Linked DNA regions of Danio rerio. The protein of the gene in region 2 interacts with the protein of the main gene of each other region in a biochemical or structural test. Links are inferred from orthologs where the notes say so. Each region holds a gene or a part of one and is shown on either strand. Other genes may lie near its edges. The genes, in order: dcun1d5, si:ch1073-205c8.3, dcun1d3, rbx1, nae1, smurf1 and dcun1d4.

Region 1 (4,705 bases), on a different chromosome or scaffold from region 2:
TCAAACACATCTTTTGGCCAAATTTGAGGATTGTATACTTTTTTATATGCTCCAAATACTCGATACAATTTTTTAATTAAAAAATTATTTATTCAAAAACTACAAATCTTATCGGCATGAGGACATACAGCAACCATCTCATGAGCAGTAGGCAGCTTTTGACCAAATTTGGGGCTTGTAGCATCTAAGCCCTGGGAGGAGAAGCGATTGCTTTTTTGAGTCAGAAGCCGGAATAATAATAAGAATAATAATAAGAATAAGTTTAAGTAGCATTACAGTATGTTGGCTTTCTCAAGCCAACATAATAATAAGAATAAGTTTAAGTAGCATTACAGTATGTTGGCTTTCTCAAGCCAACATAATAATGTTGGGTAAACAATTAAAAGCTAATTTAAGTCATAATATGTGTGTGTAACGAAGAACATCAGTTTGATAACGAATATAAATGAATAACTGATATTTTATTTAGATTTTTTAAAATGTTTTAAATACTGATAACATAAATAGATATAATTAATATTTCAGTAGTAAACCCCTTAATTAATGTATTTTTTTTTATATGGAGAAGTTTAAAGGTTTGTTATAATACAACAACTTACGTGTTACTAGACTTGACAAGGATATTTATTCTTACTGTTCTGATGTTTAAAAATGAATTTAAATGATAGATAGATGTGTTGTGCATTAGTCATTTAACTAGAAATCATCAGTTTATTCAAACCTATTATAAAAGTTGACGTTGTTATGTAAACATTTTAATTTAATGCTGATTTAAGCAAGATTTTTAAAGTGCAACAATGAACATCAGTTTGGTAATGTATATAAATGAACTAGTACATACAGGATTTCTTTTTAAATTGAATTATATACTAATATTGCATATAGATATAATTAATATTTCAGAAGTAAATTCCTCAATTAATGTAACGGTTGTTTATATGGAAAAGTTTAAAGGTTTGTTATAATACAAACAAATGCAGGATACAAAACTTTCAAGTGACAACATTTGACAAGGACATTTCCTAAAAAAGAAAATAAGCAAATTATTAAAAATGTATTATAAATACTAATGATAAACAGTTAACATTTTAATTAAAACATGATTTAAGTCTGATTGTTTTATGTGTAACAGTGAACATCAGTTTGATAACATGTATAACTGAACCACAGATATTGTATTTAGTTTTTCAAACTGTTTAAATACTAATAATGAAGATATAGATAAATTTAATCTTTCAATAATAAATCCCTTTATTAAAGCAATGTCTGATTTATATGGAACAGTTTAAAGGTTTGTTATAATACAAGCAAATGTAGGATACAAGTCAAGTTGCAAGATTTGACAAGGACATTTCTCATGAAAGAAAAAAACTAATAATTAAAAAACTATTAGAAATAATGCTAGGTAACCGTTTTGATTTAATGCTGATTTAAGTCAGATTGTTTACTGTGTAACAGTGAACATCAGTTTGATAATGTATATGAATGAATTAGCACATACATAACTAATCTTATATTGAAATTTATCAAAAAGTATTGAAATAATAATAAAGCACATAGATATAATTCCAGTAGTAAATCCCTCAATTAATGCAATGTTTGATGTATGTTGAAATGTTTAAAGGTTTGTTATACAAGCAACTGAACTAGTACATACAAAACTATTTATTTATTGATTTAGATTATTCAAAATGTATTTAAATACCAAAACCGCACAAAGATACAATTAATCTTTCAGTAGTAAATCCCTCAATTAATGCAATGTTTGATTTTTACAGAAAAGTTTAAAGGTTTGCTACATATAAATGTAAGATACAAGACTTACACATTACAAGATTTGACAAGGACATTTTTTAAGAAAGAATGAAAGAAAAAAAACATTGAATTATTAAAAATCTATTAGAAATAATGCTAGGTAAACGTTTTATTTAATGCTGATTTAAGTCAGATTGTTTTATGTGTAACAGTGAACATCAGTTTGATAACATATATAACTGAACAACAGATTTAGTATTTAATTTCTCAAACTGTTTAAATAATAATAAGGGAGACATAGATGAAGTTAATCTTTCAGTAATAATTCCCTTCATTAATGCAATGTCTGAATAATGTGGAAAAGTTTAAAGGTTTGTTATAATGCAAACAAATGTAGGATACACGACTTACACGTTACAAGATTTGACAAGGACATTTCTTATGAAAGAAAAAAATCTAATTATTAAAAATGTATTAGAAGTAATGCTAGGTAAACATTTTTATTAAAACTTAATTTAAGTCTGATTGTTTTATGTGTAAACGGTGAACATCAGTTTGATAACATATATAAATAAATTAGCACATACATAACTGATCTTATATTCATTTTTTTCAAAAAGTATTGAAATAATAATAAGGCACATAGATATAATTCCAGTAGTAAATCCCTCAATTAATGCAATGTTTGATGTATGTGGAAAAGTTTAAAGGTTTGTTATACAAGCAACTGTCGGATACAAAACCCGATGTACGTTACGTATGAGCCTAAAAGCTTCGCTTTGTGGTTTCTGAAATGGCTGAACTGCTTCATACCCAAAGCCTGAAACTCTTCTAAACGTCTAAAATCGTCTAAAATATGTTTATACAGGTATAAAAAGCGAAACATCGTCAAAACATCCGACAGTTTGAGTAAAAACAAACACACGCATGTGATAAATGAACATACATGAACAGTAGCTCACCGGCTCATCTAAATATCACGAATAAACACTCGACAAAACACCCCACAAACAGGAAACTAGTCATAATGCAGTGTTTTCTCATCAAACCTGAAATATCAGCTGCTTTTAGCTTGTCCCGTTCGGTTTATTTGTTACCAATTTCAGCTGCGTTGTGCTGAAATCTGTGGCTGCTTTAGTTTCACACTGGCGGAGAAAGGAACATTTCCGGCTGCCCCAACCGGCATAATAAAAGTCACGCCGTTTGAATTTCTACATTTTTATTTCGCATTGCAAGGTGTTTCTTTGTGCTGTACGTCACATTGCATAGCAATATTGCTTTTAAGAATGTAGTCCTTAATTTCTAGCCATGAACAAATAAGCAAAACAGGCTGTTGTTTATTGGACATGAAGAAAAACATCTCCATTCATTTTAATGAGAGTATGACAAAGCAATGCTTGGAAACCAATGATGACCAATGGAGAAAACTGGTACAGTGAGTTTATAATCCTAATTCAAGGTCTTCAAGCTCTTTCAACAGCTGGGCCTCCTTCTGCATCTTCTCAAGCTGTAAAAAAGGGGAAATGTTATAATTATGGTTTTAGCATGTTATGAAGGTCTTATGAAAGCTAAATCAAGGCATGATCATATTTTATTTTGGTAAAAAAAAAGTGTAATCTAGAGGCCTTTGTTTATCATATCTGAAAACTGGACTTTACTAAAACTTCTATGTTAAGCGGCTTTGACACAATCTACATAGTAAAATCACTTAAAAAATAAACATGAATTGAATTTAATTGAATTTAAGCCACTTCTGACACCAATTGATCAACTAGAAGTCAACTTATTAAAAATTTATAGACGACAAGACTTTGTCGGGTAGCATATAAAAACATAACAATAAAAAGGTGGTACCTGGTTTTTTTGCATGACTTTTCCGGCAGCCTGCTGCTCCTTTAGTTCATCAATGGCTTTGAGTTTCTGCCAGATAAACAGAAAAATCACATTATTACATTAAAACATTGAAGAAGAATATATATATATATAGTATAGTACAAATACATTTTTTAGACTATTTACTCAAACAGCTAATTGTTGTATAAATAAAATGTTAAATATAAATAATAGATAATAAAGATGGGGAGGGCCAGGCAGTGGCGCAGTAGGTCGCCTCACAGCAAGAAGGTCGCTGGTTCGAACCTCGGCTCAGTTGGCGTTTCTGTGTGGAGTTTGCATGTTCTCCCTGCCTTCGCGTGGGTTTCCTCCGGGTGCTCCGGTTTCCCCCACAAGTCCAAAGACATGCGGTACAGGTGAATTGGGTAGGCTAAATTGTGCGTAGTGTATGAGTGTGTGTGTGAATGTGTGTGTGGTTGTTTCCCAGAGATGGGTTGCGGCTGGAAGGGCATCCGCTGCGTAAAAATTAGCTGGATAAGTTGGCGGTTCATTCTGCTGTGGCAACCCCGGATTAATAAAGGGACTAAGCTGACAAGAAAATGAATGAATGTCGGCGCCTGTAGCCTAGAGGTACTGCGTGCTGACATATAGCACCAGTGTGCTCGTGGTGACCCGGGTTCGATTCCCGCCTCGAGGTCTTTTGCCGATCCTTTCCCTCTCTCTGCTCCCAGTGCTTTCCTGTCCGAATTCTCTACTGTCCTATCAAAATAAAGGTGAAAAGCCCCTAAAAAATAATTATAAAAAAAAAAAAAGAAAATGACTGAATGAATGAAAGATGGGGAAAACATTGATAAAAAATAATGAATAATAATAAAATCTCTATATTAAAATTACTAAAATCAAATAAAGCCTAATAAAAGTTCAAGTGAAGAGTAAACTAAATATGTTTTACTTTCCCTTTACACTTTTCACATTTTATATAATTATTAACTATTTAGTCATACATAGGACGACACAGTGGTTAGCACTGTGGCCTCACAGCAAGAAGGTCGCTGGGTTGAGTCCTGGCAGGGTCAGTTGTCATTTCTGTGTGGAGTTTGTATGTTCTCCCCGCGTT
Region 2 (4,643 bases):
ATGCATTAGATGATGCTTACTTTGTGTTCAGTTGTTGTGTAGCTGACTGAAGGCTAGATGTAAATGAATGAGAAACACTGGGCTCTCCACTCTTTGAGCTGGTCAGATGTGCACTCCACTGCTAGTCATCCGTGCACTACAGAGTCTGCATGGGGGATTGAAACACCAGCTCAAGCACCAGTTTAACCACAGTATTTTCTCCGCAGCTCTCCTGTAGCGCTGCCGGGGTCACAGATGATCAGGGTTTGAGAAAACACAGGAGTTAGCGTTTACTTCTGCATGTGCTTTCACTGCCAACGACAGCAGATACACTTTCTGTCAAACATCACCCGAGTGCTCTGAGTGTGCCGGCCTTAATCCACAGCAAACCTGACTACATGGAGGATTTCCTCATGTCACAGTACTGGGGATGTAAGACTACAGTGATGGATGACTGAGGTAACTACTGGCACTGTGGTTACCATGGCATTTATACAGTATGTGGGTTACGCTGTCACACACACACACACAGACAGGTGAAATAAGGGCCTAAATGACAGAAGCAGAGCAGAGAACACACGTTCATCACAAGCACAGCTTTACCATCAGTGGATGAACACACACACACACACACACACACAGCAGAGAGAGAGAGAGAGAGAGAGAGAGAGAGAGAGAGAGAGAGAGAGAGAGAGAGAGAGAGAGAGAAAGCGCTAACCAGCTAACCAACCCTCACACAGTCCAGCGGCAGCAGATCGCAGGTCTGAAACACACACACACACACACAAATAAACAGACACGCTAGTTAGCAGGTTAGCAGCTCCATCCAGCAGCGCTACTAACCCTAACCAGCAGCTGAGGGAAGAGAATTTGGCCCAGGGTGGGTTAGTTTAAATGAGCAGTTCTCTCCCTCACACACACACACACACACACACACACACACACACACACACACACACACACACACACAGATGACTAGCTGAGCAGCACACAGGACTGCCGTTAGAGAAGCAGCCTATCTAGTGCCCTCACCTGCTCGTGTGGAGGCGCATACTCTCTGGCCGAGCATCGGACTGTTTCTGCGGCGGAACACAATGAGCTTCCGTGTTTCTGCTGCTCAGCCCTCTCACCGAGCCGTTACCGACACCGAGAGGCTGATCCCGGTCCCTCAGCCCTCCAGCCGCTCAATCCCCGCCGTGTGGATCCGCAGGCCGGTGTTCGGGAGCGCAGCGGCGGATAAACGTGTCTTTTGTTCGCGCTCCGCTATTGTGCTGCTGCGCGTCTGATGGCGGATCCGCGTTCATTCAGCAGCAGACGCGGGAAACGGGCCACAACCTCTGACAGGACGCTGACGCCATCACATGCGATTCTGCTCCCCGAAATCAAATAAATAAATAAATATGGTAAATAAAAAATATGGAGAGTAAAAAAATAGCAAAGCTCCTCCCAGTCCTCTGGTCACCGCCGAACGGCACTATGGGAAATGTGGTCCGCCGGTGCCCTACCCAAAACATCCGCTTTCAGTATCACCGCAGATTTATGATAAAACTGACACAATTATATAATAGCTGTTATTAAAAAAACATTCATCTTGACAACAACAACACTATCAACAATAAGAAGATTTATTAACTTTAAAGTATAAGTTTGCGGTTTCTGTCTAGTTAATTGTGTTCTGAAATCAGCTGAAAGAACAGTGTGTGAACAGAGCTAGCATTTGCGGCTAACACACACACTCACACAGGGAGAGAGAGAGAGAGAGAGAGAGACTGACTCACACACACCGGCTCCCTCTACAGCTGCTGTGAAACACACTCACACACACACACACACACACTCTCTCTCCCTCAGAGCGCAGCTCCCGAACACACCGCGCTGTTTGCTCTGCAGAGGCCGAAGATGATCAAGCTTTTCTCGCTGAAGCAGCAGAAGAAGGACGAGGAGTCAGCCGGCGGGCCGCGCGCGGGGGGCGGCGGGAAGAAGGCGAGCGCGGCCCAGCTGCGGATACAGAAGGGTGAGAGACACACACACACTCTTGCTCTCGCGCACACACATATACACGCACGCAAACACACCGGGCCGGTACCGGAGCTCGCACAGCCGCGGGGCCGCCGACCGGGTCGCTGAGGAGAAACAGCGATAGCGTTAGCATTAGCCGCGCGCTAACAACATCCGGCGCTCCTCGGAGATTCTGGCCCATAAAACAAGACAAAACAGACAGTTTAGACATTCACAGTCCGAGCAGGAGGAGAACACCGATCAACCGTCGAGCTGCGCGGACAACTCTGCGTTTCTGCCCGCGGAGAGGTAAAGTTTAAGTCTCAGTCAAAACACTGAGGCCTACAGACCCGGAGGAGGAGGAGAGCTGGAGCTGTTCATAACCAGAGGAGACCTTCAGCAAAGATCTGCTGTGCTCCACAAACCATCCACACGATATCACACACACAGTAACAGTCAAACTGGAGTGAGTGTGTGTGTGTGTTCATACAGCTGAGCAGAGTCTGGTCCCCATTCAGCAGAAACACCAACTCGGCTGAGGAAACACAGCCGATACTGATGAGGAGAAACGGCTTTAAACACACACACACACACACACACACACACACACACACACACACACACACACACACACACACACACACACACACTGTTTTAACTGTTCCAGGGAAGTGTCCTCAGTTAAGTTAATAAAGCACAGTGTGTTTTCGGCTGTTCTCCATCACTCACGCTTTATTTGCTCCACACCTGTGAGTTACTTCTAATAAACACAAAAGAAGATAGTGTGAAGAATGCTGGAGGAATCTGGCTTTGACTTCCGGTGTTGGTTTTTCCTACTCTGGACCTGAAAGTTTGCAGTGTTGTTCAGATGTGCTGCTTTGAGAGGTGAGCGGTGTGTACATGAGCAGAGCTCTCCTGCGGGACCCTTTAACACTCTTACACACTTTGAGTCTTGTTTTAAGACCCAATCACGACCGCTGTAACAACAATGACGCGGCTTTAATATTTAGATGAGCGTGAACAGAAGCTGAAGATGCAGAGGAACAGCCCCACTGCTTCTGTACAAACCACCGACAGCCAATCAGAATCAGCCTGCGCAGACGAGGATCATGGGACGCTGAGCTCTGGGTGATGGCACTGCCTGTATGATGCTGTAGTTCATGTGTTGTTGTATGACTTGTTAATCTACGCTGCGGCTGACATGGCCACAACACATAAACACATGATGACAAGCCCTGATCAACACAGACGGCTGATGGAGGAGTGTGGAGATCAGCACCTCCTCTGTGTGCTTCTGCTCATCAATAATGACTGTACTGGCCCACACTGATGAAGAACAGCAGGAGATGAAGCAGCCGTGGTGGAGCAGAGAGGTGTGCACGTGTGTTTTTGTGACATATCAGGACACAAATCTGTATATGACAGGTGTAACACGGGTATTACAAAAAGGTGAAATCTGTGGACATTGGTGACGTCCTCATTTCTCCAAAAGCTTCTAAATCCCACTGAGTGAGGGAGAGAGTAAAGCTGCACACCGGCTCCTGTGATGGCTCGGGTTAGGGCAATACTGTATACGGTTTGAACAGTATAAAATTAATGGAAACCTATGTAATGTCCCCGCTTTTCACAAAAACAAGTGTGTGTGTGTGTTAGAGAAAAGCTAATGCTGCTGTTTCTCTTTGTCAGACATCAATGAGCTGAACCTCCCGAAGACCTGCGAGATCGTCTTTCCAGACCAGGACGACCTGCTGAACTTTAAGCTCATCATCTCTCCAGACGAGGTGTGTGTTCTGTGTGCTGAGGAGTGTGTGTGTGTGTGTGTGTGTGTGTGTGTGTGCTGATCTGGGGAAGCGCTGTACTGACCGCTGCTCGTCTTCTTTCCTCAGGGTTTCTATAAAGGAGGGAAGTTCGTCTTCAGTTTTAAGGTGAGCAGCAGAGGGGCGAGCGGCGCGTCCGTGTCCAGCTCTCTCCAGTGTGCTGTCGCCGCTGCACTCACACTGTTCTGCTTGTTTCTGTAGTGTTCTGATCTGTATGTGAGTGATGTTGTGAAACTTCCGTGCGCTGATCTCTGCCGTTGTGGGAAGGTTTTTCTGACGTGTTTCTCCTTTAGGTAGGGCAGGGTTATCCGCACGACCCCCCCAAAGTCAAGTGTGAAACGATGGTTTATCACCCCAACATTGACCTGGAGGGAAACGTCTGTCTAAATATACTGAGGTATGGTGTGCAGCTTTACACTGTTGCTCATCTCCATCTTCTTCCAGCTGAACACATTCATCTCTTAATGCTCAGGCTGTTTCTACATGCATCTCTCATTTCTCTTTGCTATTTGGGCTTATTGGAAGCTGATTAGAATAAAACGTGAGGATCATCTTCTGATAAGATGTACTTTTAGAGGAAAGTGATGTTCATATATGTGGACTGAATGTACATAAACACTGTTTCCTGCCTGTCTGTAATGCATATTTAATATAGGAATATTTTGAACATGTTTTGACTATCAGAGAGTGAAATCAACATTTTTGCCCATTATGGACGGTTAAAACAGTGTTTGGGACACGTCATATGCTGCAGAACAGTTGCAGGATGATTCTGTGTGTCTGTAACAACATATAAAACACTCAGACTATCTTAAACAGACCCTGCAGAGCTCGAGTGATGTAAAAGAT
Region 3 (4,333 bases), on a different chromosome or scaffold from region 2:
TTAAATAATATGAATATTACTTTTTATATCTACTGCTTTTACATTACTGTGAGGGTTGACGTAAGTGGAGAAGTTAATAAAATACAATTTAATGGGCAATTTAATAAATAATGTGAATATTTCTTTGTATAATTGCTGTTTTACATTACTATAATGGTTGATGTAGGGGTAGAAGTTAATAAAATACAATTTAATAAGTAATTTAATATATAATATGAATAACACTCTGTAAAACGATTGTTTTTACACTACAGTGAGAGTTGGGTTTAGGGTTGGGGTATACAATAATAAAATACAATTAATAGGTTATTTAATAAATAACAAATTATTCTTGTTAACTTCTGGCCACAGCTGTATCCCTTTTAGCAACATCCGAGAGAGTTTGTTTGGCTTTTTCATGGCAAAAACAGATACAATTTATAAACATTTTTTAATTTTAAGATCACTTTCCTACAACCAAAAAGGTTTATAACAATAAAAATACATTTAAAAAATGTAATGATACATAAAATACAAATCTAAAAGATTTATTTTTGATAAAAATTCGATTATTTTTGATCTCAGCGCTAACAGTTTTGTACGTTTAAAAACATCTTAATGTAATCATCACAATGCAACTTACTTTTTAATATGTGGTGTGTTTATAACAGGACTTGCTGGTAAAATTAGCTTTCCGATAAAAGACATCTATGAAGTTTCTTAAAAACAAACATCCAATTTAAACTGTGTATAGGATTTGCCTTATAATAGTATGCTGTTGTTTTACTTATAGTAAAGTAATATTAATTTACTTACACTTTTTTTATTTAATGTAAACATTTTCGTTTAATAAAGTAGGTTTTTCACAAAAAAATAAATAAATAAAATAAATAAATAATAATAATAAAGAAGAAAAAACAGATCTCAGTTTGTAAAACCCAATCCTAGACCAGTGGTTCTCAAAGTGGGGGTCGGGACCCGCTGGGGGGTCGCATAACAATGACAAGGGGTCGCTTGGTGATTTCCAAAGTCAAATAAGTTTTATTAAACTATTTGAATGACCATATTTTACTCATAACCCACAGAAGATAATAGTTGTGTTAAATAAACAACAACATACAAATAAACAAAAACAAAATTATTATTATATTATTATTATCTATTATAAACAAATAAAAATCAAAGTCATCAGCCTTTACGTTTTATATTATAAATTAATAAATGAATATAAAAAATATATACGGTTAATAGACTGTTGCATTTATGTGTTGTCAATGTGCTCATGTTTATACATGCCTATAGTTGTGTCTACAAGGTTTATATATTTACAGTGTAACCACCTTGAAAAATGGGGGTCATGAGTCACTGACATTGTTATTTTGGGGGTCGCGGGCTGAAAAGTTTGGGAACCCCTGTCCTAGACTATAGTACCTTGTAATGTTTGCCAATTCTGCAACTGTGATCTTGAAACGGTTGACCATCTATTTCTTCATTGTAATTTGGTTAGTTCTTTCTGGTCTGATGTGGACAATTCGATAAAACAATAAATTTCAATGTTTCCTTCTATTTGTTAGAACATTGTAAAATTTGGAGTAAATTTGGACAGCAAAGAGGAAATTGTTTACTAGTTTACTTAAAAACTTCATTCATAAATGCTAAATTTTGAAAGCAGCTCCTCAATTGACTGCGTTTAAAAAGGAGTCTGCCACATACGCAGAAGCTTTAAAAATAATGAAGTGTGAGAAGGCTATATACAACTGTATGATTTGTTTCAAGAATATGCTTCTATTTAACCCTTTGCAGAGTTTCTGTTTGATGTCTGCGCAGCATGTTGTTCTTTTTTTGTTATGATATTTTATAAATTGTACAATATATTTTGATATTTGATAAAAGGTTATAAATTGTTTTATAAATGTGTATGTTTGTGTAATTGTATGGCTTTATATTTGATTCACTGTATATCTGACATGCCTCAGTCAGTTTGTGCAAGATTATGTTTGGATTGAGTTTGGCCTAAATTGTCATGTTTTTAAAAGGCAAGTAAAAAAAATTAATAACTATATTACCTCAAAAGTCATTGGTAAACCAATAATAATAATAAAAAACATACTAAAAGCGTGGACTTCTTAGTAAGTGAGGATAACTTAAAATGTATTTAATGTCAGTTTTCTGATATTAAATCTCCATTCCTGTCACAATCTGTTATTTGTTACAGCATATAGATATATTTACACAGTTGCAGTCTACCTAGGCACTAGGCAACATGTTGATCACCATAAGCAAATGCCCATGACACCTAAATCCTAAATAGACTGTATTTATTTTAAATATGCAGCCTTTAAAAGGCATGCAAAGCGATATCTGATTCCCATAAAGCTGTGTAGGTAAGCAGCTCATAGATTTGAGCCACAGCCAAGAGTCTCTGTCAGGATAAATGAGAAAGTTTTCCTCTAAATAATGATTAACTGTCTACGACTGTAAGAAATACAGTAAATATCCAGCCTGAACACGCTGTAATCATACGGACAGCTCTGATACATGGCTGTATGTGAATGAAACAACGCTCCGCATGACAGTTAAAGTCTTTTAAAGAGCTGATCTCATGTTAGCAGATTAGCTGGTTAGCTTCAGATGAGAGTGCGCTTCATTTATAAGCACTAAACTTCATTTGAACTCTCAAACGTGTTCGTTCTGGACGTGAACATGTCAGGAGGTGTGAAGTGAGCGTGTTCTGTGCTGATTTACCTGTGGAAAGACGATGAAACGGGTCAGAGTCAGCGCATCCCTGCTGTCATGCTAAAGCTAAAGCTAATCCCAGCGTTCAGCCGAACCGGATCGGTTCTGGATCTGCGTTGAAGCAGGGGAAAGCTCGTCTCTTGTGCTTGTGGTGATTTTTGGTTCATCAGATGATCATTGTTGACATTTTCACAGCTTCACGTCCTCCAGACCCCCGTGCCCGAACCGAACCCGCGCTGATCCGGACCGGCTCCCGTTAAACCTCCGCCTTCCCCAGATCCCGCACTCCTCTACATCAATGTTTGAAGAATCCGGATGATCCCGATGAACTCGACACGACCACACGGAACCAGAGAATCGCGGATCGGCCGCTGATTGATCGCAGTTTCTCTTTTTGTTTGGGTCCGACAGAGTCTGCGCAAAAGATACGCAGAGATGAGCGACGCGAGCACCTCGCAGATTTTTTGCGATTGCGCAACACCGGGAGCGTCGCGGACTGGTTTGAAACGAAAAACCTCCGCAGTTTGAGGACGTCATCATTTGCAAGCACGTGGACGGCGGAGTACGGAAGTGCGGAGATGCTCGCATAAGCTGATGTGAACGCACATAGGTAACGCTCATTTAGAGTTCAGCTAGAATTATTATGTAGAAAACAAAAGGCTGTTTAATTATAATGCTTGCCAGATATTCATGCGATAAGTGCAAATCGCTCATTGACAGCGTATCCAACATTATTATAGAGGTCACGCAAACCCTGTCACGCGCTTCAGGTCACTGTTGGTGTCTGTTTTTGTTTTGTAGTTAATGCTAGATGAAGATTTGAACATGATTATGATGATAATTAGCTATAGTTATGGTTAAAGTAACATTCTGACACCTGCCAGCAGTAGTGGAAAGATATGGAGTCAATCTAGGGTCATATATACCTGCAACATGAAGGAAAGTTTTGCAAACAAAAAATAAAATAGAAAAATAATGCAAATGTCAAAAAAAAATGCTATATTGAGTTTTGAGAAATAAAAAGGAATTTTGCAAACAAGAATAAAGAACTGTAAATAAAAATCAAGTAGTGCAAAGAACATTTTATAATTGGGATAAATTATACATATATTTGCTAAATATTTGTTTTCCAGTATTGCCTTTACAAAACCTCTCAAGTCAATTGCAATGTGTACAATGCTCATTTTGATTTGCTTTTCAGTCAACCGTGAGTTTGCAATACTGTTTTTTTTTTAATTGCACTTCACATTTTTATCTGCATTTCACTTTCTGGCCCTGATTTCAAAAGGGGGCGGAGACACTGGAACTGGGGCGTGTACAGCATGCCCAGACATGCCTCCTATGAACAAGTAGGTATTGCTGTAGCCCGAAGACCTCCAAGTGGGAGGGATTACCCCGCAAGTAGGTTGGGTGACCTCCAAGTGGGAGGGACTTAAACCACAAGTAGGTTGGGTTTAAGTGGTGTAGGTGAAGTAGATCTTAATAAAACACATCAGGTTACTGTGAGGTTGGGTTTAGGGTTAGGTGTACACATTCATAAAGCACAATATTGAACTCTAAATACAACTAAATAAGGTTTGCACAGCCCACTTGGAGCTCTAAGGCCCACCCACTTGGA
Region 4 (4,693 bases), on a different chromosome or scaffold from region 2:
TAAATAGGGTTGGAGCAAAACTGTGCAGAGCTGCGGCTCTCCAGGAATTGAGTTTGAGACCTATCCCTTACACGAAGCTTGTGAATTTGACTTGATTTGAATGAAGAATCAAAAAGACTTACTTCTGAAACTCCCACTCTCTGTTGTCCAGTGGACACACTTGTCTGGTCTTCAGCCAGCGGGAGATGCAGTGGAAATGAAAAGCGTGCTGCAGACACACACAAAAACAAACACACCAGCATTACACCAGCACCAAACAAACCCAGAGCTCAAAGTGTGTGTGATTATACTCACATTGCAGACTCCCCAGGCCACCGTACACTCCTCTGAGGTGGCAGACGCCTGATTGGCCTGACACTCAATACCTGAAGCAAACACAAGAGTTACAGATCAGCTACAGCTCATCTAGACCAGTGGTTCCCACAGTGGGGGTTAAACTTTGACACCTTTACAGCTTTCACATACATTAAAAATAATACAGGCTACAACAGAACATGGAGCAAGCTCTCACAGTGGCAATCTCTAAAATTAAACAATGAATAGATTTGGGCCTACTGGTATGTGTGCAAGGTTTAAATATTCATCACCACCTTAGAGAATATTGGGGGGTCGTGAGTAGGCATGGGCCAGTATAAGATTCTGACGGTATGATTACCTCGGAAATAAATTTCACAGTATCACAGTATTGAGTACCTCACAGTATTGAGTATTTCACAGTATCACAGTATTGAGATAACTGCTCTAAAATATAATCTTTTTAAATATCTGGGTACAAAACAAAACCCTTTTCCCCTTTGTACACACTATATGTAAATTTGGGAAACATATAAAATGTTTTGGAGAAGTAAACATGTCAGGCTAAATAATTCTAATGAATTATTGACTTCTGCTGTCTTCATTTGTTTTAAAAAAATCTGATTATTTTTACAATTTAAAAATGGCATCTTTGGATATCTTTTCTGGAGATACTACTGTCCTAAAAATAAAAAGTAAAAAAAAGATCGAACTCATACCTTAGGAACGGTATAGGAGAAAATTTTGAAGGCTTTAAAACCTTGACCTTTCCAAACCTTGATATACATTGAACACGGTTTTCATCCCACGGCTAGGCGCGAGTCACTGGCATTGTTATTTTGGGGGTCGTGGGCTGAAAACACCTGATCTAGACTAAACCTAAAAGACTAAAGCAGCTGTTATACTTACAGAGGTCCATAATGTGATTTCTGCAGATGGCACAGTTGTCCACTACAATGTCCCATGCCCACAGAGCCACAGCGTTCCACTGCAAGACAAGCAGAGTTTATAATCATAATCTTTATTAAAAATGCTAACAGCACCTTTTCTCTTAATGACACATGTACAGACACAAACTAAGCCTAAATATCCTCCACCAATGAGCAGCGCTTCCACTCAGTTATACATCATAATGAGGAAGAAAAGAAGCCAGCAGCCATAACATTTGTAAAGGAACATAGTGAAAATAAGTTGTGAAAACAGTATGCGAGTACAGTATGAAAACTTATTTTAAAAACATTTTTTAAAAAGTATATCTAAATTCAAACCGTTCACGGTGATCGTTTTGAATCCAGATTACAAATTGGTAATCTGGAAACCAACTACAATATTCCACAAAAAATATACATTCAGAAAGGGTTTATGATGCCTGAAACTGTTGGAATTGAACATTGAGAATGAGCTTGCAACGCCTCACACTGTTGGAAACAAATATTTGAAACAAGTTTGCAATACTAGAAACTGTTAAAAATCAAGCATTTGGAGGGTGTTTTCAATGGCTGACATTGTTGAAATCAATATGAAAATGAAATGGAGTAACATTAGGTATAATATCTGTCTATAACACAGGTGTCAAACTCCAAAAGGGTCAAGTTCCAAAAGGGCCGCAGCTCTGCACAGTTTAGTTCCAACCCTAATTAAACACACCTGATCAAACTAATAGAGTCCTTCAGGCTTGTTTGAAACCTACAGGTAAGTGTGTTGGAGCAGGGTTGGAACTAAACTGTGCAGGGCTGCGGCCCTCCAGGAATTGAGTTTGACACCCCTGGTCTATAACATTCAAACATGTCCGTACCTAGCTTTTAAAAAGGATGCACACAAGTCAAAATTTACTTAAGTAATAAGTATAACATAATTTATTGTACATTGTATACACTTATAGAATGTTCAATTCCGTGTGTAATATGTGAAATTCACTAAAATGTTTGCATCGAACTTTGAGGGGGGTAAATGTGTTTAAATGGAATGTTCGGAATGTCACTATGGTGACTAAAAGTGATGGAAACGAACGTTGGGAACATGTAAATGACGTCTACCGATAATCGAATAGAGCGTTCGGAATGCGTCTATGAACCTCAAACGGTTAGAATCGAATGTGCTGTAAGCGGCTGCAGTGTCCACAAATCTTGCCTAAAAAACTCGCCAAGGTCTGGGAATGATCAGCGCTGTATTTCGTTCTTTAGTGGCCTACTTCAATAATCTCTGGGATTACGCTGCAGAATTTATCGGAGTTCAAATAAGAAGCACATTGGGCGAGCATGTAACATATTTTTGCTTGACATTAGCTTGTACTCATTTTTGTGACACTTTATGAGGTTTTTGTAAACATGAAAAGCATAGAGGCCGGTGATTAAAATGATGATGTGAAAGAGCAGCGCGGCTAATGCTAACTGGGTTTAACACACCGCGGTGAAAGAGTGTTATTTTAATTTTAAAGAGACTAAACGGATGTGAACAAACAGTTGACAGCAATCATTAACGTGAACTTCACAATTACTTACCTTTTTCACTTCAAATCGCTTTTTACTGGCTCCGCTGTTAGCTCCACTTGGGGTGTCCACATCCATCGCGGCCGCCATGTTTGCTAATGTCTGATGATCTCGCGAGAAAGAGTGAGAGTGAACAGCTACTCGGTTTATAATCTTTTACATGTAAACGTGTGAATTAAAGCAATTGTGTATACTATGATGTTTTTAATATCATTCATATATTTTTTTTTATTCCAGTTTAATCAGACACAATCTAGTCCAAATTACAGTCGAGTTAAAAGATTAGGTTCCACCGAGATTTGAACTCGGATCGCTGGATTCAGAGTCCAGAGTGCTAACCATTACACCATGGAACCTGTTGGAAGCTAAGGCCCACTGTTTCCAGATTTGTACCATCTACAATACCCTACCACTATTATAAACTACATTGTCGGAATCCTGCATATTATATAATTATGACCGTGTTCAACATACATCAAATCAGTGCAGTGCAAGTGCAGAGCTTTGAAATGATACAGGAGATTACATGTTACCAGGATTTACAGATAACATTAAATGCCATCTATATATTTTTTTATTTCACATATTCATATTTGCTTTTTTTTGACAAGTTTTGCGAACAGCTACCATGTAGACTTATGTAAACTATACACAATTCGTAGTTTTTCCACTATTTTACACATTTGTTTACATATAAAGTGACGTTACTGGAATGCTCAACCGACTTAACATGTAATATCATACAGTTAAGTGCGTGACAAATATATATATATATATATATATATATATATATATATATATATATATATATATATATATATATATATATATATATATATATACATATACATATACATACTAACACACACACAAACACACACACACACAAAAGCATATAACGTTACACAAGTATTTTCAGAGGCCCCAAAACACTATTGTTGTGTGGATGCATTAAAATTGCACAAATTTTGATTCAACAAAGATTCAACCAAAGAATTACCTGTAAACAAATCTGCAGAGCTACTACCACATAGTAGCTAGCTAATAATTGTATTGTTTAAACAAAAAAACACACATGTACGACTACTTAATCCTAACAATATAGTCATCAATATGTATATATTTATCGTTATCTCTTAGTGTGGGCAAGCCAGCATAAGCAGTTAAAGCATTTAAAGACAATAGTTACTTAAGAAAAAATATGATCTACAGACTTCACACAGCCTCCATTTTAAAAGCGAAAGAGAGTCTGCAGTGGAAATAAACCTGGAAGTAACGCCTGGAGTCACACAGGAACGGCATCCAAGATGGCGTATTGTTGTGTACCTGGATTTATATCTTATCAGTGAACACAAATTTATAATTTCACCACTTTCCGAGTGACCCGAAGGTCCTTTCTGAATGCATGGTGAAAATAAAAAGGCATATCGGACCTTATTTTCCCCTAAGTTAAGGGAAATGGCACTAGTTAGCAAATGTTTTCTTTCCACCAGTGCTTAACAGAAATGACTGTGATTGGTCGTAAAGGTCATCAGTTCACTGCACTTCACCAATGTTTACAGAATGCAAACGCAGACAAGCGATCTGCTGATGACTTGACTGAACTTTAAAACGCTCCAGTGTCCGTGTATCTGTGTTTGCACTTGTGAAGAGAGGTAAACTGATGACAATCACCGCCGATAACAGTAATTTCACCGCAGATCAGCGGAGTTTAAAAACGTGCTCAACGGCGCTTAAATGCTAGCATGTTAAATGTTAGTTTTTTAAATTTCAGTACCGGGACAACAATATTACTGACAACACAATGGTGTGCTAGAGAGGACTGCATTGTTTTATCGCTCACCGGGTTACATTGGCTGAAGCAGGTAAGCGTCCCCGCAGTGTTTACCTGGTTCCATAAACTGAAGCCT
Region 5 (3,492 bases), on a different chromosome or scaffold from region 2:
TTGAGTAAATAGTGAGTCAGTTTTCATGTTTGGGTGAAAACTATCCCTTTCAGTATTTAATATATACAATTATCAGTTTCTTTAGGTTTATGAAGTATTTTAATGTACATTATTTATATTTGTGATAGAAAAGAAATGTTTTCCAAGTAATTCCCTTTAATATTTAATTAAGTATAATTATGAGTTGACAAATAATGTAATTTAATTTTCATACAAAAAACGTAATTTCACTTTCAGAAATTGACCATTGGTCAAAATAATAAATGTTTGTTATTGATTTTTTTTAATGTGATTAAAAATGAGAGACATTCGACCAAACCCTTCTATAATTAAACAGTGGTTTTGTTGTTCTCTACAAATAAAGACAAACATGGCACAAACCTAACATATTTTATTTAAAAAAAAAAAAAACTACAGATAATTAAAGTTTTGATATTTATAAAAACCTTTTTCAGTATTTTGCAAATACTATATAAATATAACAATAGAGCCATTCAGTCTTCAGTAAAACAAAAAAGAGCACAAACACACACACAAAACCTTTGGATATACACTGTTTATTCAGTATTTAGCATCAGTGTTGAGTCTTGTCTAAAAAGCAACACCATCGACCAATGCAAGCATAAACTTGAGTGCCAATTTGAGGCCAGCACTTCGACAGAGGAATGGAGAAACAGATGGAGATGACTGTTTTACAGCTGAAAAGTCGCAGAGGTCTGTGACATGGCGTTATAGAGGAACGTGTTGTTGAAAGGTACAAACTGGTGCGTGATGATTTTAATGGCCTCTTGAGCCGCTGATCCTGCAACAACAAACAGACACTGGGCTTCATTACAACTGACATTATCATAAATGAATGAATTCAGGATATGAAGAAAGTCTTATATATAAAATCAATTACAAGCTAAAAAAAATACAATAATAATAAAAGTGAAAAGAAGTTTTTTAAAGACAGAGACATGAGCAAAGAAAGGGGAGAATCAAATAAAATAACTGACAGGTAATCAGAAGCTTTTTGATAGAGGACAACTATGATATTGTACTTAATATCCTTAAATATGTAAACACATTTGCACTATGAACACTTTCTTAATCACTCCATATCTCTTGAAAACATTGTGCAATTCAAATTGTGCTTCATTTAGGTGAGTGGGCTTGACAAACCACCTGTAGAAACACTTTTTTTTCTTATGCACCTGACACTTCAGGTAAACTCCATCTTACAAGAACTCAATAATAAAAAGGATGATTACTATAAATGTACCACAATTATGTTGCACTGCTTACTTCAAACTTAAATAACTCCTTTGCACTATATTTAACCTTAAATACCTATTTTGCACAATATTCACCTTTAATACCTCTTTTGCACAACACTAAATGCAAAGGGCACAGTGCATACTCTATGGCAGTGGTCACCAAACTTGTTCCTGGAGGGCCGGTGTCCTGCAGATTTTAGCTCCAACCCTAATCAAACACACCTGAACAAGCTAATCAATGTCTTACAAGGTATACTTGAATCATCCAGGCAGGTGTGTTGAGGCAAGTTGGAGCTAAACCCTGCAGGGACACCGGCCCTCCAGGACCGAGATTGGTGACCCCTGCTCTATGGTGAATCATTTGAGACACAACCACAATTTCGATTACTGTAATATTGTGGCTGGAGCAGCATCATATTTTTATAACTTCCCTGATACTCAGTGCAAAAAGTGTTAAAATGAAAGCGAAAATCGATAATTACACTTAAGTCTGTAAAGATGTAGTACAAAGAAACTTAAATGACCAATTGTGAACTCCAAAAATTGCAGTTTGGTAAGGGAGATTTGTGTTTTTAATAATCATTTCATAATTAGGTAGAGATCTGCCTACACACACTTCTTATCAGCTGGGGTATTAGACATCAAATAGTTATAGGAACTCAGAGGGATGGTCCCCCAAAATACTACATTTTCCATATAGAGAATGTTACTTCAGAGCTTCACAAGAAAAAAAATGACTGTAAGAGCAAAAAGATGCAAAAAATTTGCTATAACTACTTGTTGCGCTACATATTATCGAGTCAAAAAAAAGAACCCACTGTAAATACCCCAGAAATATTACTTATCTGCATGTTTATGTCTTGTCTTTTTAAATATCGTGCTGCCAGTGTTTTATATGGCGCTTGTTTGCCTAATCAATTACATCACCCTAAATACAATGCTGGGTTAGACCCAATTCTGATATAGGAGCTAATTTTGATCCCCCAATTGGTGTTCCTGGAACTAAAACCACTCCAAGTTTCTGGATTGAAAAGACCCTAAAATTGTGTACTTCTGCCAACAGGATGAATGAAAAGTTTCATCCACTGCGGAAGCCCCTATTTTTAATTGATTCTGTGTCTTGTAGCTGTTTTGCATCTGATGGACACATCACAAATGTTAGGGGTACGGTGTAAGAAAATCAAAGTTATCATCAACTGATCTGAGTGCTAATATAGCTAGCATTAATTAATGTTTGTGATCTAAACTGAAAATTAAAGGAGCTTTTGTCACAGAAACTCATAAATCACATCAAGGTCAGATGGAAATGAATAGAGTACGACAGGAAATGTTCAACCTGCTCTGTATATAATAGATAATAATGGTTTATAGCGCATCACTCAGTACCACATGGTGCTTAAGTGGTTGAATACAAAAAAAGAAAAAGCATTTACAACCTCAGTGAATAACGTCAGAGCTGTCCCTGAGCACCTCTGAATGCACCCTCTATTGATCTGATTACCACATGCACTCAAAATCAAAGCATCTTGGATGCATTTACACCCCACAATAATGTAGTCAAGTGCTTTCTGATTATTAAAAATGCAAACAATCATTTATATTTATTATATTTACATAAACTGTTCTTTTGTTTGAATATTTATGCACTTTGCAGATGCTTTTATCCAGAAGTGACTTGTAATGTATTAAGGATTAAATCATGTATTAAATGACCTTCGATTAATCAGCCAGTCTTAGAGTGGTACAAGGGCTGGGCGATTAATCGAAAAATAATCGAAATCGACATTCAGAACCTATAATCAATCTACTTTTTCCAGGTCAATTTCTTAAATTAACGTAGACTAACCATGTTGCGTACCCTTTTCGCTATTCAGCGCACTCAAACGACCACTCCTCCATCATGAAAAGCCAGATAGGCATGTTTGTGTGATCATTCTCTGGATGAATATTGTAAAATCCAAATCTTGATTGATGTCTTTTGGACCAGTTGTTTTTGAGAAGGATGGGAAAAGTATCGTCTACGCATGTGTACGGAAGATGATAGGTATTAGCAGTGTTCCGTTCACAATTAAAACAGTGTTCTGTACAGGGCAGAAATCTTAAATTCACTGGCAAAAATGCACATTGCTTTAAGTATTACTAAAAACCAACATCAGAATATACTATTATTGGGTTTATTTTGAAGTTAATGTTATATTTAATAGTCACACTTTATTTTGACTGTCTGTTTGTT
Region 6 (3,317 bases), on a different chromosome or scaffold from region 2:
TTGCTGGTGAAAAATGTTTTTTTTTAGTTCTAATTTAAGAGCAGTTCATACAAACCGGTCAACTTTGACCGGGAACACTAAAGTAATGGGCGGGATGTGAACACGACACAAGGGTTAAAAATGTTAAATTGTTAGCTGAAACTGTTTCAACACCGTTTCAACACCGTTTTAGATTTGTTTTCTTCATCACGGCACCCTTGTGGTCAATGGAGGGTGAGGTAGCTCTCTGGTTTCATCTAAAATACCATCATTTGTGTTCAGAGGATAAACGAAGGTCTCAGGATTTGGAACAACATGAGGGCGAGTAATTAATAACATAATTGTCATTTATGGATGAAATAACCCTTTAAAAGATAATAATGTTGTAAATTAGGTTTCTTGCACAGACCAATCCTTTCGAGTCAAGAGCACAAATGTCAAAAGCACATTTTCTCATCTGTTCCTCCAATATTTTGGAAGAAATACGACAGGCAGATTACTAACTTTTGTTAACATTCATTGCAAAAAAAAATAAATAAAAAAAAATCACACACAAAGTTCAAAGAAACGAGCAAGAGGAAGGGATTTGCAATTTAGTTTCTTTAATATAATCTTATTTACACTGAATTTGTTTCAGAAATGTTTAGTACATAGTAAGTTACATTACTCTTGCATCGAATAAACAATGACACTCAGGACCTAATAATTGTACAATGTGATGATACTGGTCACATTACTCCAAAAAAAAAAAAAAAAAGTTTTTTCTTAGAGAAAAATGAAAACAACTGTAACTTCAGGCAAAGTCCAGACTCATCTTCAAGCTCACTAGCCATTCCCACAATTACACAACATTAAACATCACCTCTCTTGTGTTGTATGCAAGTTTTAAAAACGGTTCACCACTGTAGGCATTCACGGTCTTTTGGAAAATTGGAAAACTTCATTTTTGCACACTCGTCAAAGACACATCCCAACCGATCTGAAGTGAGGAAGAAGACATTGTAAGACAGAACCAAGAATAAAAAGGTGATGGATTTTATTGCATATATCACAAATATGAACATGACCACCGGGGCCTGGCCTACATCACTCGCCAACTCCATCCAGGTCAAAAGATCAGGCGAACCGATCCTCTTAACCTCCTGAAGAATCAGCAGCAGGTTTAAATACTTTGATTCATACATAAAATAAAAGAGATTAGTGTACAGCTTTCACAAGAACTCAGCTTTCTCTGAAAACTATGGAATAATGGTAATAGCAGCAATACTTAAAAAGACATTACATGGTAATAAATAATTGGTTAAAAAAAATTAGGAGGAAAAGAAAAAGGACAAAAGTGGTTGAAGAAACACCATGAGGTTGGCTCATCCTTTACATTTACAAAGAATAATCTGGTGCCATGCACGTCAAGCACTACATAATGAAATCTTGAACACTTCCCTGCTCTTTCAGCACACCAAAACCAGAAAAGCCTCTCCGTCAGAGTCTAGGAGCGAAGCATTCGTCCACTCCGATCGTACATGTGCCAGCGGAAGTGCCGAATGTTCCACGAAGCAGTGGTTTTGATCAACGAAACAAGCAAATAACAGTCAAGTTTACGGTAGGTTAAAACGGTTAATGCTTACCATATAATAATCATTTGGAAAAGATTAACGGGGTCCATCAAAATTAAGGACAAGAAGAGCTTCTTTAAAGCATCTGATCTTCTTACGAGTTCGGTTTAAGAAGCCGAACGCCATTGGAGAAGGTGACATGCTTCAAATTCAAATGTTTTGCTTACATTGGATAAAAAAAAAAAAGGGTTAAAAGAAGTTCTGCGACAAAAATACTGTAACTCCGTGAGAACATTTGGTGTTTCGACCGCACACGATGGTTGTGCTTCAACATGAACACATGGGCGCTGGTACATTCAGTTCCCACAACAGGACTAAGACTCGCCGTCAAGCATGTTCTTGATCTTAGACACAAAAATAATAGTAATAATCATTTCAACAATACATTTCAAGCAATCGAGTTAAAATTTCTACAATGAGAACTGAAGAGCACAGGAAATGGATACCACTGAAATGTCATCCTATAGCACTAAACGGGACGCAAGGGGAAAAAAAAAAAAAGGAAAACAATTGGAGACGTTTACATACATCGAGCATGACAAACGCAAGCCTTGTCCTTTGAGACACATTTTTCTGTAGGTAAACTGGTTTAACGGTCACAGGCTCTGAGTGTGTGTGTGTGTGTTAAAATCCTCCCCCTAGACTAAAAAAAACGTGAGCTCTACTTCAAGTAGATCACGGGCTCAGCGAGGCTCTATGTACTGCAGCACAAACACACTCGCGCATCAACCCGCCGCTTCAGTGACAAAGACGATACCAACTGCATTGTTGAGAAACTACATTTCCTCTGGAACTCGTTGTGGTAATGCCAAAACCATTAGTCAATGAGTTGAAACACCTAGGGTGTTCGCTGCCCTCCACTGCAGTGTGATGCTAAAGTCTGTCGGGAGACACCAGTCCGTCTGTCCTGCAGAAGGGGAGGGGTGTGAGAGGGTGGCAGGGGCTGTTTGGTGGCTTTTGCTGCCATTGCTGGCTGGCTGGACAGGGCGCTTGCTCACTCCACTGCGAAACCACATGTCTCCTCCACTGCTGTCAGGAGCTTTTCATACAGCTTCTCGTACGACTCGTAAGGCGGGATGTCGATACGGTTGAAACTGAAAGAATATGAGAGATATTAGATTAAGTATTTTGGAAAGAGAATTGTTTAGTTTCAGGGCCGGGACACACCAAGCTGACCCCAATCAACTAGCACCAGCAAAAACAAACTGTATTGTAGGGATTCACTTGTGTAAATATGTTTGATAATCTAAAAATCCAATATTAGGGATGGACAACTTCGGTCCTGGAGGGCCGCTGCCCTGCAGAGTTTTGCTCTAACACTAATCAAGCATGCTAATGAGTGTCTTCAAGATCACTAGAAAACTACAGGCAGGTCTGTTTGATTAGGGTTAGAGCGGAACTCTGCAGGACAGTGGTCCTCCAGGATCGTAGTTGCCCATCCCTTATCTATATCATTTGCAAATATTCAAGAGTTCACACTTAGATATTGCTTGATAATAATAGCAGGTTTGGCATGCTGTCCCGGGAGAGAACCCTGAGCTTGGAGATTATTGATCCCAGGGCTCCCGCCTGGTCAATGAGCATGTAAAGGGAGTACGAGATCAGGTAGTTCTCGAGAGCTCCCCCTGGTAAAGGAGAAAAGGGGGAGAAGAAGTGGATGGGGGGGGTTTCTTTGGAAAACAAAGTAGTTTTAGACAGGCTACTTATAGTGAGTTTGGATTAATC
Region 7 (4,599 bases), on a different chromosome or scaffold from region 2:
GTATGGCAGCTTCCACACATACTCACATGAACTACACTAAAAGAGTAATCACACCAAACCAACCAAGTTTGAACTGTAAACAACACACAAATTGATCTTGCAACATTGGCAAACTGTGGTTTGGACCTTAGAGCAAATATATTCTGAAAGTCACAACCTGCTACAAAAAACCCTAAAAATGAAAACATGTCCAAATCCCATCTATAATCCCTCTTGATTTAAATAATATAAAGGTTTGAATGTTAACTCTTGCAATATAACTGCTGGGTATTTAAATACATGCAAAACAGAGTCCATACTGTACTTACCAGCCTGTGCAGGGTGTGGTAGATTTTGTGGATACTGGCCAGTGTGGACAAATGAGAGTTCAGCTGGAAATCTATGACAGAGATATAAAAATATACATTTGTTACTTTATACACATGTATACAAGCTTCTGAAATGGACATGGTTTTTAAGGGTTGTTTGTGTACGTGTTTGTGTTAACATGTTTCCAGTCTATGAGGATATGGTGGGGGGTGAACGTCCGCTCCAGTGAGCTGGTAGAGTGACAGAAATATGAGAAGCAATGTGAGATGCAGAAGTGTATCTAATAGACTAATGTATCCAGAATACATTTAACTGTTCTTTGTGCCTTCGTGGTGAGTACAGCCAGGCAACTACCAACATTGTTATTCATAATCTTTATGCTGTCAAGTATGGTTTCATCACCAAGACAGAAGGTGTCAGTGTGGAGGTCATCTTTCTCTTGCATGTTAATATCAGAATATTATTGTAAAAATATTCAGAATAAATGTGTGGGACCAAGACTTTAGATTATACCCAAATACAGATAATTAACAATATGAGGCAAACCTCGTGAAATAATATTTAATAAAATCCACAAATATTTCTAATAACTGTATTAAACCTAACACTCAGAAGGTGCATTAATCAGCTGTGTGTGATATGATGGAAATAAAAAGTTTTTGTAGGAAGGAACGTGATGTCGCTTTAAAGTTTTTTTTATGATTATTATTATTATTGTTAGATTCAGTTTTTTTTTTTCCATTCAGAGGACTTAATCTGATTAAACCCCAAAAAAGGGAATTATAGTGTAAATAGATGCATTTTGAAAGGTCAAAGGTAAATTTCAAAACACCCATTACACTTCTGCAAGAAGAGTTGTTCTCATGCACTCTAATGGATAACTTTCTTGGGTGTAAAGGAGTCTAATTTTAATTTTAGGTATCTCTTATATTTAAATGTGATAAGGGGGAAAGAAAACTGGCAAATATGATCAAATTCAATGTTTATATTGTAAATGCCTATTCATTGTAATAGACATTGTTTTAATGTAATTTTTTGTATTCGTCAAACTATTTATGTATATGTTTGCACTGACATGCAAGTATGTAGCTCACTAATTGAACATTATACCCAATAATCACTATATTCATACCCTAATACGTAGGCTAGTCGTTTAGGAAGCACGTAAACTAGGTTAATAATAGCCAAATGCATACTTAATGATCAAAACTTTAATACTGACGCCAGCATATGATTAGATTATTTACACTTATTATGAGCTTACACGTTCTAATATTCGGACCTAGAAATATATACGTGTATGTGTGTTTGTGTGTATCGATGCAGGCCTCTGAATATGAACGCTATGCCAACAGCCAAGACCCCGAAACAGCATTAACTTCAGGTACGATGAAATGTCTACTATTTAAACAGTTGCCGGTATCTAATGCAGTGCATCATTAATGCAAACCCTACATAAAACGAGACCTGTGTGAACCTGTGACGCAGTTGTCAGGAATGCCAGTTTTTATGAAATCCCCCCAAAATTGTAAAACACAACATTAGTTAAAATCACACCAGCACGTTTCAAACATTCACAGTTTTACGCTGACTACAGTTTAAAATCTGATTTTCTGCCACAAAGCTCATAGATATGTATACACGCATAACTTGCGACGACTTTACAAAGTATCTAGAGAGTGTGCGAGCTTCTGGGGAATGTAGTCTAATGACAAACAACGCCTGCGTCTGCCAACGACACGGGTCGGCTGAATAAACCACATTTCCCAGAATTCCCCAAATCATAATTTCAATCGGTACTCTCCCCAACTGATGAATGCGACCCAAATGCTGCAAAAAAGATTTTCTATCTTTAAAAAAGACAGCCTTTCACAACGATACGCAGTTTGTCTTTTAAGGGGACGTACAGTAATGCGCCAGATCACACTCGACGTGTTTGCAAGCACTAAATTTTTACACAACTGCGTCACAATTTTCACCCCCTGTCATTTTTCCGCAGTTTTCTCGAAAAAAAACTGAGCAGATTAGCTTCAAAACAACAACCTTTCACTTGCACGTCGGTGGCTTTGCATTAGTCATTCGAGTTGTCAGGAGATGGATGCCTTAAGGTTATTTGGGTATTAAAGGTAATTAGTGTACAAGTGTATTGTGTAAATAGGATCAGATACCTTGTTCGGATTGCTGTATATACTCAAGCACAGAATGCTAAAATGCAACGATAATCAACGAAGGTCGTTGTCTCTTGCAAGCGCCCAAAACATCGGAGTAATTACACAAAGAGAGCAGCTAGCAAGCTCAGAGTCAATCTGGTGATCTGTATGCTCCGGTAACGGCTACTTTACTCACAAAATGCGTCAACACAGCGAATCATACATCTTAAAAGAAGTCACGGCGACTTGTCAGGATGCAGCAAGCACGCAATTGTCATCACAGCTCGACAGAAAACGAAAAGCAGTGAAAACGTACTATTGTACTTACTTGACGCATCTGAGTGCATTTTTATGAAACACACAACTGTATTTGTGTGAGTCTGCAGACCGGCCAGTGGGCGGGACACGTCAACATTACACATGCCCACAAATGATTTAGATGGCCGAAATTTTCAGTGGCCACGCTCACTCGTGTCCATGATTGGTCGAGAGGAGTGTCAAATACAGTGCGCCAGAAACATTGTGTACATCCCGCCTTTTAACCCACGTGATTGGTTGAAATGCTTCAACAACCCCACCTCTCGCCGTTCGTGATTGGCTTAGAAGTATGTCTACACCCATCAGTTACGATAGTTTCCTCGTGCATAGAAGAAAGCCAGCCCACGATGACATGCTATTGGCTCAGCTGTACACCAACACAGAGCACACTTGGGCTAACAAAACAATGGTGGGAAAATACAGTTAAAAACATTAGGCTACTGAACGAGGCGACTGCTTTAGGTTAATTGTGCGCTACTGTCGTCCAAAACATTTCTTTGAAAAGTTGCGAAAGTGAATGGAAAACATCACAAGGAGCAGGAACCCCAATTATGTAAGCTATTGTGTATAAAGGAGGAGTTCACCGCCCCAAAAACATCATTTTCTTACTCTCATGCTGTTTATATTATAACACGTTATGACTTATATCTGATGAACAGAAAAAGAGTGTACAGGGCAACCTCGCAGGCATTAAATTCAATGTTATGACAGAATTGAGCATTTAGGGCACATTGCTGCAAATTTTCATGTCTGTTTGTGTGTATATCAGGGTAATACCATAGGGTAATACAAGAAAACATGGACAGTGCCCAGTGTCAAATGGTCTATTTTACACAAATGGCTAATGTTGTTGAAAAAAATATATAGGGAAAATAAAATGATTACCTTTGCTTCCTGACAATACACTGATGGCAAGGGTGCATGATATTGGAGAAATCTTAGATTTTAATATTTAGTCCTTTATTCTTCTCTAATGTATTGCAATATGATTACAATTTCACCCGACGATTTAAGTAGCTCTATTTGAAAAGAATTCCTTAATTTAGATTGATTGGGATGACTTTCATGCATAAATCATCATAAAATCCGCTTGTTAAGTGGTGACGTGTTTGTGACGTATGTAATACTGTTTCTGGGTCCAAGCCGCCATTCACTTGAGTGGAGAAATCTTTCGTTTATGATCACTTTTTATTCCTATCACACATTAAAGTTAATTTTACATAAAGTCATAGTGTACACAACAATCTCCGGGCTTGCTGCATAACAAATACCAAAATTTTAACAATTTATAAAACAATGAATCACTTTCTGGCTATCGGATATTAGGCATAGACATATATATTGCGATCGTGACTTTCTAAAGTACTAAATCGCTTTGTAAACGTTTATTATTACCATTTCATGAATTTCCCCATTCAGTTGAATAGAGCGTTTGGACCCGGAAGCTGCTCCGCGTGACGTCACACTTAACAAGCGGATAATCTAAATTAAACAAACAGTGTGTGCAAGCTTTAGGTCCAATTGGCAATATGATGGGAAAAGTCATTCATCATTCACATAAATGGCACATCCATACACCTATTTGGGATAATAATGATCTTCAATATGGTGGTGCACCATTTCTTTCAAGGAAATGGATGCAGAAAGGCATGTATATGTTCAAAGATATTTCTGGTTCTAATGACATATAAGTTTTTATTTTTGTGATTAAGATCGACCATGAAGGCCTATGAAGTTCCCTGAGAGGACGATCTTCCCACTCATCCAATCATTGCTTGGTTTGATCTGTCCTCTACTAATCATTTTACCTCATGGATTTACA

The links.
Region 1: the proteins of si:ch1073-205c8.3 (region 2) and dcun1d5 form a complex in vitro, tested with the Homo sapiens proteins (3 studies listed by BioGRID). The link is inferred for Danio rerio from reciprocal best matches to the Homo sapiens genes UBE2M and DCUN1D5.
Region 3: the proteins of si:ch1073-205c8.3 (region 2) and dcun1d3 form a complex in vitro, tested with the Homo sapiens proteins (4 studies listed by BioGRID and IntAct). The link is inferred for Danio rerio from reciprocal best matches to the Homo sapiens genes UBE2M and DCUN1D3.
Region 4: the proteins of si:ch1073-205c8.3 (region 2) and rbx1 form a complex in vitro, tested with the Homo sapiens proteins (15 studies listed by BioGRID and IntAct, with this or other methods). The link is inferred for Danio rerio from reciprocal best matches to the Homo sapiens genes UBE2M and RBX1.
Region 5: of the proteins of si:ch1073-205c8.3 (region 2) and nae1, one has a biochemical effect on the other in vitro, tested with the Homo sapiens proteins (4 studies listed by BioGRID, with this or other methods). The link is inferred for Danio rerio from reciprocal best matches to the Homo sapiens genes UBE2M and NAE1.
Region 6: the proteins of si:ch1073-205c8.3 (region 2) and smurf1 form a complex in vitro, tested with the Homo sapiens proteins (2 studies listed by BioGRID). The link is inferred for Danio rerio from reciprocal best matches to the Homo sapiens genes UBE2M and SMURF1.
Region 7: the proteins of si:ch1073-205c8.3 (region 2) and dcun1d4 form a complex in vitro, tested with the Homo sapiens proteins (3 studies listed by BioGRID). The link is inferred for Danio rerio from reciprocal best matches to the Homo sapiens genes UBE2M and DCUN1D4.

What each region holds. Positions count from the first base shown.
Region 1 is NC_133193.1:3,852,670-3,857,374, reverse strand, and holds the start of dcun1d5 (DCN1-like protein 5), read right to left. Parts: upstream 2,900-4,705; 5' UTR 2,805-2,899; exon of another isoform or gene 698-2,804; intron 1-697. UniProt on the Homo sapiens protein: Contributes to the neddylation of all cullins by transferring NEDD8 from N-terminally acetylated NEDD8-conjugating E2s enzyme to different cullin C-terminal domain-RBX complexes which is necessary for the activation of cullin-RING E3 ubiquitin ligases (CRLs).
Region 2 is NC_133194.1:51,592,258-51,596,900, forward strand, and holds the start of si:ch1073-205c8.3 (NEDD8-conjugating enzyme Ubc12), read left to right. Parts: upstream 1-1,780; 5' UTR 1,781-1,878; coding exon 1,879-1,993; intron 1,994-3,663; coding exon 3,664-3,758; intron 3,759-3,863; coding exon 3,864-3,902; intron 3,903-4,087; coding exon 4,088-4,191; intron 4,192-4,643.
Region 3 is NC_133199.1:43,233,988-43,238,320, reverse strand, and holds the start of dcun1d3 (DCN1-like protein 3), read right to left. Parts: upstream 3,099-4,333; 5' UTR 2,725-3,098; intron 1-2,724. UniProt on the Homo sapiens protein: Contributes to the neddylation of all cullins by transferring NEDD8 from N-terminally acetylated NEDD8-conjugating E2s enzyme to different cullin C-terminal domain-RBX complexes and may play a role in the cell cycle progression by regulating the SCF ubiquitin E3 ligase complex, after UV damage.
Region 4 is NC_133178.1:23,848,445-23,853,137, forward strand, and holds the start of rbx1 (E3 ubiquitin-protein ligase RBX1), read right to left. Parts: upstream 2,909-4,693; 5' UTR 2,874-2,908; coding exon 2,796-2,873; intron 1,283-2,795; coding exon 1,204-1,282; intron 366-1,203; coding exon 295-365; intron 209-294; coding exon 123-208; intron 1-122. UniProt on the Homo sapiens protein: E3 ubiquitin ligase component of multiple cullin-RING-based E3 ubiquitin-protein ligase (CRLs) complexes which mediate the ubiquitination and subsequent proteasomal degradation of target proteins, including proteins involved in cell cycle progression, signal transduction, transcription and transcription-coupled nucleotide excision repair.
Region 5 is NC_133182.1:45,347,278-45,350,769, forward strand, and holds the end of nae1 (NEDD8-activating enzyme E1 regulatory subunit), read right to left. Parts: intron 803-3,492; coding exon 693-802; 3' UTR 542-692; downstream 1-541. UniProt on the Homo sapiens protein: Regulatory subunit of the dimeric UBA3-NAE1 E1 enzyme. E1 activates NEDD8 by first adenylating its C-terminal glycine residue with ATP, thereafter linking this residue to the side chain of the catalytic cysteine, yielding a NEDD8-UBA3 thioester and free AMP.
Region 6 is NC_133178.1:39,644,121-39,647,437, forward strand, and holds the end of smurf1 (E3 ubiquitin-protein ligase SMURF1), read right to left. Parts: intron 2,687-3,317; coding exon 2,587-2,686; 3' UTR 565-2,586; downstream 1-564. UniProt on the Homo sapiens protein: E3 ubiquitin-protein ligase that acts as a negative regulator of BMP signaling pathway. Mediates ubiquitination and degradation of SMAD1 and SMAD5, 2 receptor-regulated SMADs specific for the BMP pathway.
Region 7 is NC_133195.1:25,824,257-25,828,855, forward strand, and holds the start of dcun1d4 (DCN1-like protein 4), read right to left. Parts: upstream 2,882-4,599; coding exon 2,788-2,881; coding exon of another isoform or gene 2,776-2,787; exon of another isoform or gene 2,478-2,775; intron 380-2,477; coding exon 309-379; intron 1-308. UniProt on the Homo sapiens protein: Contributes to the neddylation of all cullins by transferring NEDD8 from N-terminally acetylated NEDD8-conjugating E2s enzyme to different cullin C-terminal domain-RBX complexes which are necessary for the activation of cullin-RING E3 ubiquitin ligases (CRLs).